3 linked regions of the Drosophila melanogaster genome follow. The protein of the gene in region 3 purifies or fractionates together with the protein of the main gene of each other region. This does not show direct contact. Each region holds a gene or a part of one and is shown on either strand. Other genes may lie near its edges.

The links.
Region 1: the proteins of PAN3 (region 3) and Gyf purify together in Drosophila melanogaster (affinity purification with western blotting, with the first as the bait; one study listed by BioGRID). This does not show direct contact.
Region 2: the proteins of PAN3 (region 3) and SmB purify together in Drosophila melanogaster (affinity purification with western blotting; one study listed by BioGRID). This does not show direct contact.

What each region holds. Positions count from the first base shown.
Region 1 is NC_004353.4:865,339-869,097, reverse strand, and holds the start of Gyf (gigyf), read left to right. Parts: upstream 1-2,072; 5' UTR 2,073-2,122; exon of another isoform or gene 2,123-2,128; intron 2,129-2,803; 5' UTR 2,804-2,831; coding exon 2,832-3,167; intron 3,168-3,225; coding exon 3,226-3,396; intron 3,397-3,455; coding exon 3,456-3,750; intron 3,751-3,759.
Region 2 is NT_033779.5:10,424,853-10,428,189, forward strand, and holds SmB (small ribonucleoprotein particle protein SmB), read right to left. Parts: upstream 1,776-3,337; 5' UTR 1,645-1,775; coding exon 1,642-1,644; intron 1,273-1,641; coding exon 676-1,272; 3' UTR 631-675; downstream 1-630. Other genes in the region: Wdfy2 (WD repeat and FYVE domain containing 2), read left to right, coding at 1-78, 140-420; KdelR (KDEL receptor), read left to right, coding at 2,319-2,957. UniProt on the Drosophila melanogaster protein: Plays a role in pre-mRNA splicing as a core component of the spliceosomal U1, U2, U4 and U5 small nuclear ribonucleoproteins (snRNPs), the building blocks of the spliceosome. Involved in germline establishment and development.
Region 3 is NT_037436.4:3,069,069-3,072,827, reverse strand, and holds the start of PAN3 (Poly(A) specific ribonuclease subunit PAN3), read right to left. Parts: upstream 1,696-3,759; 5' UTR 1,521-1,695; intron 282-1,520; exon of another isoform or gene 68-281; intron 1-67. Other genes in the region: CG32486 (uncharacterized protein), read left to right, coding at 2,289-2,666. UniProt on the Drosophila melanogaster protein: Regulatory subunit of the poly(A)-nuclease (PAN) deadenylation complex, one of two cytoplasmic mRNA deadenylases involved in general and miRNA-mediated mRNA turnover.

The sequences.
Region 1 (3,759 bases), on a different chromosome or scaffold from region 3:
ATGTTCGTTTCCGTGAGCTATGGGCACCTACACGATATATATAGAAAATTCTTGCCTACTATTTATTTTACGTGGGGCGTGTCGTTTGAATAGAGACCTCAAATTGATATATCTACGAGGCTATTTTTCGTAGAAATCGCGTCTTAGCCCACCACCCTATGAGCGCTTCGGTGCGACTGTATATATTTGGGAGCTCCCACACATGATTAGATTTCCTTTCTGTACTGTGAAGGAGACAGTAATCCGTTACTACTCCATAATATCAAGGACACCATGTTATTGTTCAAATGTTTAAAAATGTTTAAAAATTCAAAATTCATGTTTATTTAAATATTTTTAACACCTACACCATATGCATATCATTCGATTTCTGGAGGCATACTAGTAATCTTATAATTCTAGTCCATGATCTAATATTATAGCACAATAAAGCTAAATTAAATAACTACTTCCATTCTTAATATATTTATCTTTTTTGTATCATGGCGACTTCAGCGTGCCGAACTTCACTATTTTCTTAACAAAATTAATAGTTCAGAAATTTAGCTTAAACCATAGAATTATATGGGGATTCAATCAACTCTAATCTGGATAACCGTCCCATTGTTACTTATGAGGTTCAAATTTAATATATATTTATTTGTCTTTATCTTGCACTTAATGGGAACCAACATCAGGCTTACATATTATGCACTCACCCTGTCGTTGTAACTGTGTTGAAGGCCTTTCCACGTTGGTTAACGACGTACTGTAGGAGATTATATGTATAAAGTTTAACTGCCTTAGAAGCCGTTTTCATCCTTGCCGAGATAACGAGAAGCCTCGCCTACTGCTCGCCATTCCTTCTCATACTCCTAACTTGGAGCAGGCTGAGATCCTGCTGTTGCAATGATATTTTTTCCCCCACACGCAGGAACGCTCAGAACGGGTGCAACTGACTTTAGGTCTCGTTACGAAGTCTGCGTTTTTGGTTTACATTTTGAAATGACCCTTACGCTAAATTAAAAGCATTATAAGCGATGCGTTAAGCGCCCGATCTGGGAACAGTGCCAAAATTTCAGATGTACTCACTGCCTCGAAACGTGGTAAAGATTAAGATCGCTCGAGCTTCGCTGTTATACGATTAAGGTATCCGAAAATCCTTCAGAACATGGGCATCAGCGTTATGGGCGTCATATCGTTTTCAGACAAATCACATGCACCATTGGCGATTTTCGTTTCCAATATCTGGGCGTTCATACGTACGAACAGACAGTTATACAAAAGACAAAAGGGGTGCGTATACATCGCAGCAAATTTTTGACACATACCCCTCACTTCATGACTTATGTAAAAAGACCAAAATAATCACAAACCAGGTATTCATTTTGGATCAAACCAGACAAACGTGGTTATGAAAACGGTTATGAAAATAATGTAACCATATTAAAATTTATATATATATATATAAATATATATATCCACTACTATATATATATATATATATATATATTTAAATATATACATTTGTATTTATATATTTATTCAAAATAAACTAATACATCGTTTACTTACACTTTACTATTTCTACTGTTATGTTATAATACTGAAAAACTTGAACTTGAAATGAAAATCGACTGCTTGTTAAATATAAAATTATTAACAATTCCGAAAGACTAAGTTTCAATACAAAGCTAACAACAAGGTAGGAATCTAGCTTTGGCAGTGATAATAATTAAATAATAATATTAAAGCAAGAATTCCCGTTACTCAACTTAAAGAAAAAAATCAACACATAGTTAGTGGTCGTGGAAACATCGTCTGCGTCTATATCTATAGAATCAGCATGCTTTAAGTTCTAGTTCTTATAGTTCCTGAAAGCGAGACGTTCTTACAGACAGACGGATTGGTTGATTTAAAGATTGACACTTATGCATTCTCTAAATCCCGGTGCTTGATGTTGCAATGTGAAGACAAGGGTGATGTATCTGTCAACTAGTAGTAGTGGAGCTAGTGTATAAGAAGCAAAAGTGGCAAGAATACCCCTGTGCTAAATTAAATTGGAAGCTTGACATATCGCAAGACGGCCACGCTGGCCTTGCTCTATCTTATGTTGGCGTTGGTATTTTAAGATATCTCGGTGGTACGTGTAAGTTGAATATTTTTACGAAATTCAATTTAAAAAATTTTTTTAGGATGTGCAGTTATAGTGGCTTGATTTTATTAAGATTACCAGAAGAATTAACTAAACAATCTTTAAAATAAAACACACCCGCCCAGTGTGATAAAGTCACACAAATCAAAAATTTGTACATACATCACTGTGTGTCTGTATGCGTCCAGATACTTACGAATTTTTTTTACCTTTTAGATCTATATTAGTTCTATTAGTTCTATATTTCAAACATGAAAGCTCGAATCAGACATTTCAATTCTATAAACATGTTAATTTTAATGTGTGATGAGGGTGCATGTGTATTTCGCGTTCGTGTGTGACAATCAGTTTGATATTTTAGGTTAGGTTTCTGTGTTGCTTTTATATTATATTATTTTACTTTTACTATCCATTCTGTAAAGCTCTGGTAAGTTTTTTTTTATCACTAGTTCTTAACTAAGCTTTAAAATAAATCCTTTGTTGTACTGTTTGCTTTGAAAAAGACTTGAAGCTGTTTGCTTTATTTATAGAACTTGAACTGTTTGAAAAATAAACAATTGTGCACAGAATCATAAAGCCATTAGGAGTTTAACAAAAACACTGAAAATTTGATTTCATTGCCTTTCTTACAAATAAATCAACCAAAAACTTTTTTGAACTTATTGTCAGCATAACATTAAACAAGAGGCAAATAAAAATGACAGATTCAATGAAATTTGGCCCGGAATGGTTGCGCAATATGTCAGCCGAGCCTTCGGGCTCTCCCAGTACCTACAACGTTGGTAATGCAGCTCAAAACAATTCGATTGGAGGGCACAACCTGGGAAACAACACGGCGGCATCCGCTTCCCGTAATCTATTTCCAGAATACCGGTACGGACGCGAGGAAATGCTGTCCTTGTTCGATCGGAACTGCCTACTGCCGCAGATCCTGCCATCGTTCAAAAAGCTCTTCGTGGAAAAGGTTCAGTGCCCTCTTGCACTGACACCGAGCTCCGAGGAGGACATCAACCAAAACTCACTTGGCAATAACGTATGTGAAGTAATTTGACATGAGTTTTAGAACATAATTTACTTTTCTTTGAAACTAGTCTCGTCCTGCCTGGTTGCAGCGCTCGCCCAGTGGATTTGGTAGTGCCTCCCGAGGCTCTGGACGTGGTGGAACCGTTGACCGGGGACGGATGCGCGGAAAATCGGCCTATCATCCGATATACCAACGCCCAAGCGGTCTATATGATGAAAGCTTATCGGTTATATCAAAGGTAATTGCAAATACGAACTAAATAAGGAAGTACGATTAGTTGTTGATTTTTTCTGCCAGGCCGAACGCACATGGAGCGACCGCAACGGAACTGGAGATTCTGCGGCAACCACCACCTCCACTAGTGGCTCTGGTGCTCTAGATTGGAATGGAACTCCAAGCTCAAGTCCTCGAAAAGATTATTCTAATAATCATCGCAACTTGGAAAACTGGCGACGAACACGTAACGAAGATGGATCCGGTGATGGTCCATCCTCCAGCGGTTCCATGAGCGGACCCGATATTGCTGGTTGGCGGAGCGGTGTCGTCGGTGGAAGTACAAACGCAGGTTTTGGTACCAATAGCCATCGGTGGGGTCAGTCAA
Region 2 (3,337 bases), on a different chromosome or scaffold from region 3:
TGGATACCAACAACTGTCAGCTTTGCTCCAGGCCCTTCTTCTGGAACTTCCGCTCAATGATGGATCAAAAGCAGCTGGGTGAGATAAATAGCTTACACTTGAGTTACTCTTTGTTTTACAAGTAATTTCTGACTGTCAGGAATACGACAGCATCATTGTCGCCACTGCGGCAAAGCCGTGTGCGACAACTGTTCCACCAATCGCATTAACATACCCATAATGGGCTTCGAGTTTGATGTGCGTACCTGTGATCCGTGCTACAAACAACTTCAGACAGTCGAGCGCCCCTCGCTGGCTTCATTCAATGACGCCAAGCATTCGATCGTCTACATGGACCTGGACGAGGACAGAAAGCGCCTGTTGACAGTGGGCCAGGACAGGCTCATCAAGATCTGGGATCTCTCCAACATCTGGGCATAAAACATCCTGTACGCACACGCACGTACCAAAGGTATAATCATTCACGAGGCGTTTCGGTCTTAACTGGAACACCCAATTAACGAACGATGTGGCTGGCAACGACCAAATCCAGTCCCTGCTGCTTAGGTTCTCATATAATTGATGTAAAGCAATAATCATTGTATGTACGTATGCTTACATTCAACACATAAATACACGAATCCATCGATTAAGTGGTGTTTTCTAAATGAGTTTTTATTAGATTGTACTTTATACTTAATAGCCACCCCTGCCCGGTGGTGGTGCTCCACGGATCATGCTGGGCGGCGGTCCGCGCATCGGTGGCGGAGCACCGCGTCCCATGTTTCCTGGCATCGAGGGCATGCCGCCGGGAATCATGCCCGGTGGCGGTGCACCCATCATCGGTGCTCGTGGCACTCCTCGTCCCATCGGAGCCATGTGCTGTTGGGCGGGTCCGCCCACACCTCTCACGGGACCCTGGAGACCCGCTGGCACGGCGGACAAGTTGATAGGCATTCCGCGTCCGGCCACGCGACCGATTCCCGGACCAGGAGCTGCTCCCGGAATGGGAACTCGGGGCAGGCCCTCCTCTGGCGGCGGTGGTCCCTCCACCGTCAGTGAAACTATGTTCTCGCCGCGCAGCAATACAAAGCCCAGCACGCGCTTCTCCTCGCGCTCGGGCACCTTGGAATTCTTCGAGCGAATCTTCCGGAACTCCTCGCAGTCGCCGAGGATCAAGTTCATGTGTTTGTCGAAGGCTTTGAAGGTACCGATGAAGGTACGCGAGTCCTGCAGCACGATTCGCACCCGATAATTCAGGTGCTGAATCATTTTGTTGTTCTTGCCGATCGTCTGAAATAAAGGAATTCAAAGGATTTAATTGTGAAATACAATAGCATGCATAAAAGTCGCGCCATCTTTTGTAAACCATTTCGACCCTTTAAAAAAGCCGGTATTTATAAAAATTTTAATAAACCACAGAGTTTGAAATAGCAAATCTCAGCGTAATATCGAAGATCACTAAAAATCATAATTTTAAACAAATATAAAATAGTTAATTAGCCAAAACAAATTGTTTTATTTATTCGCATGCATGTTTGTATGTATGTATGCCTATGTAAATACGAAATCGCAACCGCGAAAGTAAGAATCTATGAATTAATACAACTAAACAAAACTTAACCATTGCAGTCAGATGCTTAAAACAGTGTTTTTACTTACCATTTTATTTGATTTCTATGTTAATTCTATCGCTTGTAAATAAAATACAGATGCCGGAACCTCACCACGGCTTTTTTCGATAGGCATGAAGAATAAATCGAGTGGCGTGTGCGGCGGTCAGCATTTTCTGGTGTCTTTCAATCGAGCCTATCGAATATAAATTTTTTATTGATAATCCACATGATTTTTTAAACAAACATTCGACTATCCCTAGCAAAAGAAGAGAAAAAAATTAAATTTTTTTTAAATCTTATGATAAAAAACGAAAAAAGAAAAAATTTGAATCAGTATGTTTTTTCTCAATTTTTTTCGTTAGAGATGGTCGAATTTTCATTAAAAAAATCATGTGGCGGCACTTATCGATATCGATAGGCAGTGGCCATGTTATCAAACTTATTCTTATTCATCAGCCACGTCATTGTTTATGCCGACATTCTGACAAGTTTTTTTCCGAAGCGGCAAAGCCCTCACATCTCTACTCGTTGGCAAATTAGGCGAAAAGTCATTTTGGTAACGTATGCAGCTGTTGAAACACTGAATGCCGCCATTATTGCTATAGTATACACTCCCATTTTCATATAGGCGTGCGTTCCGTGACGCAGCCGCAGCGAAAGGAAGTAGAACAATCAAACAGCCAACCGGGCAGCCAAGTAGCCAAGTCGGCGGATTAGATCACGATGAATATCTTTCGCTTTGCTGGGGATCTGTCGCATGTGTTTGCCATCATAATACTGCTGCTGAAGATATGGAAGACCCGCTCGTGCGCCGGAATATCGGGCAAGTCGCAGATCCTGTTCGCCGTGGTCTATCTGACGCGCTACCTGGATCTGTTCACCACCTACGTGAGCCTGTACAACTCGGTGATGAAGGTGTTGTTCCTGGCCACGTCCGGTGCCACCGTGTATTTGATGTACGTGAAGTTTAAGGCCACCTATGACCACAATCACGATTCGTTCCGCATCGAATTCCTGCTGGTGCCGTGCGCCCTGCTCTCGCTGGTGATCAATCATGAGTTTACCGTGATGGAAGTGCTGTGGACATTCTCGATCTATTTGGAATCGGTGGCCATTCTGCCGCAGCTGTTCCTAGTGAGCAGAACCGGCGAGGCCGAGTCCATCACCAGCCACTACCTCTTCGCCCTGGGATCGTACCGTGCACTCTACTTGCTCAACTGGGTCTACCGGTACATGGTCGAGTCGCACTACGACCTTATCGCGATCTTCGCCGGAGTTGTCCAGACCGTCTTGTACTGCGACTTCTTCTACTTATACATTACCAAAGTTCTTAAGGGCAAGAAGCTCCAGCTGCCGGCATAAGCGGATGATGGATAAGTGCATAGATGTGGGACATTTGTGTTTTGTCGGCACACATCATCAATCGACGTCAGAGTAAACAAGCGAGCGATCCACGGCCCGTTTGACAACGCGTATTTCGTTCATATTATACAAAAGATACATAATCGAGGGGAGCGCCTAAGTTGTAATTATTTAATGAGAAATAAACCGAAAATCGAAAGTACACTATAAACTATGCAATACCGACATCGTACATTGAAAATGTAACAAATGTATTAATCTCCGTTTTCCGAACTGCACTCACAAATTTTAGAATCCAAAAATATTAAAAAAAAAAATCATTACTCCAGTAAGAGATAACGTTAATTGACAAAATCGAAACAAATGTTTTCTCTTTTGCG
Region 3 (3,759 bases):
TTTTCATTTCGCACTTGGTTACTCATATTTTTAGAGTTTTATATTTAACACCATCCAAAATACATACACACTGAACCTAAGCCAACATATTGTGTAGTTAATTGCCTGTTTCATTGTTAGCTTTTGAATTGCTTTCAGTACCGTAATTACTTTAATGAGGATATTTCCTTGAAAGGAGCTGCTGTTGCTATATTGTATACATTTTCATTACCATTTTCCAACGATTTTGCAAATAAGAAAAACGCAACACACACACCGCGCGATTGGCGCTGCACGAATGAAGAAAACGCAAAGAAGATCCAACAGCCAAGCCAAATGGAGTCCACAAACGACCCCCGAGTGTTGTATACATGTACGTCCGTCTGTGTGTGTGTGTGCACAGGAGGTCGGATAAAAACAACAACTGCCAGCTGTGTGTGCAACAAAGTGGATGTGGATTCCATTCGAGGAGTGTTGGGAAAACATCCGCGCTCAAGGGGTTACATGGACTTTAGCTATTGTTAATAATTTTAATTAACATATATATCATTTTATGCAAAGAAATTTAACAGATTGTATAAAGTCCCTCATGTTTTTCAGCTGATAAATGCTGGATATGAAATACGTATTCTTTCAAAGAGAAATCCTTTGACACGCTACTGAAGTTCCATTATTGAATATAATGTAATAAAATAACTTTTAAAAATGGCGAAACCCCTTTATGGTATTGTAACACTTCACCTTCAAGTGGCCAGGACGTTTTGCAGAAACCCTAGCAATTGGCGTTGTTATACACACATGCATATATACACAAAATAAATACATATACATATGTAAGTTTTTGGCTGGGGGGAGTTCAACAGGACCCAACAGCTGGCCACAGGTTGCGTTCCACATAGAGAAATGTGGGAGCCTGGGCTCCAAACGCGATCCACACTCCAGCCATATTTGTGGAACGCGACAAACAGCTGGCTAGGAAAAGGGGAAGAGGACGCAAAGGGGAAGGGAACGAAAAGAAGGGGAAGAGAAAAAGCAGGAGCAAAGGAAATAAGAACACATATGTATACGATTTGTTTTTTGAGTGGGAACAGCTGGAAATAATTAACTAAGTTCACTAAGCAAGCCAAAAGCCAATTTATAAGTGTAGTTTTGTTACAACGTTTTTGGAAATATTTTTATTTTAATTTTCAAAAATTTTCATAATAATTGCACGTGAATTAAAAGTCAATTCATTAAGTTTTTATTTTCATTAAAGTTTTTAATTCACCACCGAAAATGAAATTGAAGCCATCTTGGTCACCAAATTTTTAAGACGCAATTTGTCCAAATGGTTCTTATAACGCAAGCCAGATAGCAAATACGTATAGTTTTTTGTTCAACACGCCAACGATTTGTTTTTGTTATTTTTCAAATTGATGCCGCTGTTGCACACACACACACAAACACAAAAAATGCCAAACACACAGCGCACAGCGAAGTGATACAAAAATGTCTGCTGAGAAAACTGCGATTTTTCGCTCTTTAATCCACGTTTTCCGTACCTCCACTGACCAGTCATAGTTCACTTTGCGAGAGGTGACTTCATAAAGAACCTGCCGTTTGTGTTTTGTCAAACTTTTGTACATTTTAAAGACAAAATCACAATATTTAATTTCTTACATGTTTTCCGTTTGCCGCAAGCAGTGTGACCGCATCTCGCGAGTGACGAGTTCCGTACTGCCGGATATAAGGGCAGCACATTAAACACGAATGGATTCGTTTTCAATAATATACTTGTAAAATTATATATATGAAGGCAGATTTTGCTATATTATTTTAATGCTATTTTATTTTGAAATGGTTAATTTAATAATATTTGTTATTTTATTACTTTGTAAAGGGGATGGTGTCCCTGCTAACGATCAACCAGGGCTGGAGAAACACAGACAATAGAAAAACATCGATAGGCTTTGCCAATAACATCGATACGTTATACTAGTATTTTGCCTAATATAAGATTTGGTCACACCGCACAACACTCTCTAGAAAGACAACAAATTTTTTGGCGAGCGGACGTGTCGGCGGACAAAAAGCTTGCAAACAGAACAGAACGGAAGAACACAGAAGAGAACGACACGACACGGACAGCGGGGAAAGGTGGCAATTGAAAGAAAGTGCCATACTTAGTGTGCGAGCGAAAGAGAGAGAGAGCAAACTGGGTATTGCTTGTGTGTGTGTAGTAGTTTAGTGGTCGTGTGTGTGGGAGTTTGTGTACGAAGCGAGTGGCAAAGAAAAACACAACAAACATTATTCCAAGAAAATTTCCAATCATGTCGGTGGAATCCTCCAGTTCGGCGGTCCAACAGCCGCCGTCGTCCTCGAACCTACCGCTCCTGGGCGACAACCAGGCGGTGGCCACGACCAGCTCCGCCTCCTCGGCCTCTTCCTCTTCCACATCGTCGTCCTCCTCGTCGGTGGGCGGCGGCAATGTGGTGGGCGTGCCGCTGGACACGCAGGGCAGCGGAGAACCGCCGGCCAAGAAACAGTTGTTGGACGGAGGGGGCGGTGGTGCCACCAGCAGCAGCGGCAGCAGCTTGCTTTCCAGTGCCGCAGCCGCCTCGGGAATGCACGAAAAGCTGGCCCACCGCATCTCCAATGCCCTGTGCTGTGCCGTCTGCCTGGATTTGCCCAAGACGGCCATGTACCAGGTGAGTTTTTGGATTATTTACAGCGGCTTGAACTATAAGCCCTTGTAAACTAGAATCAAAAAAAGGAAGTAAGAGCTTTAAAAGCGAAAGAAGAAAAACAGCAAGTGCGCGTGTGTGTGTGCGCCTCATTCTGTATACAAACAAATCGTGGCAGCTCAGCTGTAAGAGTAAAACACCTCTCTCCCTCTCTCCACCCTAGCAAGACACAGCTGTGCGAGAGCGAGACGTCTAGCTGGGGCGCTCTTGCATTATTCGCCTTGAAAACATTGAAAGAGTGCGAGGGGGAGCGAGGGCGGGAGTTAAGTCCGTGATCGAGGGTGGAGCCTTTTGTGAAGATATGATGTGTAAATGTATGAAGGTTTTTAAGTTTCAGCAGATAGTTGTAGTGTGAAGATTTCCAATAAAGAATACGACTGACTTTCTTGAAGTTCAAAATCAGTATGAAGTTTATTGTCAGAGAGTGGCTACTCGAGTCCTCCGTTTTCGTCTTATACATAAGTACATAGGTTCTTAATTGTAAGCATAATGAACATGCCGACTCGGCATGTGGCTGGCTAGCTGGGGACAATGTTGCAGTGCGACTTTTGTGTAATGTCAGCATTCGGCCGGAATGTCAGCATTCGGCCGGATGCGGTGTTCCAGTTGCCGTCTTCCCGGTTGAGTGTCCGATGATTTGTTTAGAGGCGTGGGGGTTTAGGGGGTGGGGTGGTAACTCCTCCCCCCCCAGTTCGAAGTGACGGCCATAGCGAAGGTATGGATGACGCGTAGATTGGTACGTGATGATCCTCGTGGATGTGGACGATGTGTTTCGTTCGTCGGTGCAGCCATAAGATGACTGCTAGGAACGTTACCAATCCGAGCAGAGTGTAGAGTGTCCAGGTGTGCTGTATAGTATTGTGATGGACGGCCAGGATTTTATCCATTGTTTGGGTGGCTTCGAGGTGCAGTTTTTCTAGGCTTAGTACCGTAATAGTGGTATTCCTAGTTACTTTTCGCATGGGGGGAAGATCAAAATCCGTCTGTTCAGGGAACGTGTCAACCGTGCCGTCGTAATCGATACCGTTAATCTGTATTGTTTCGTTAATGTATCTGA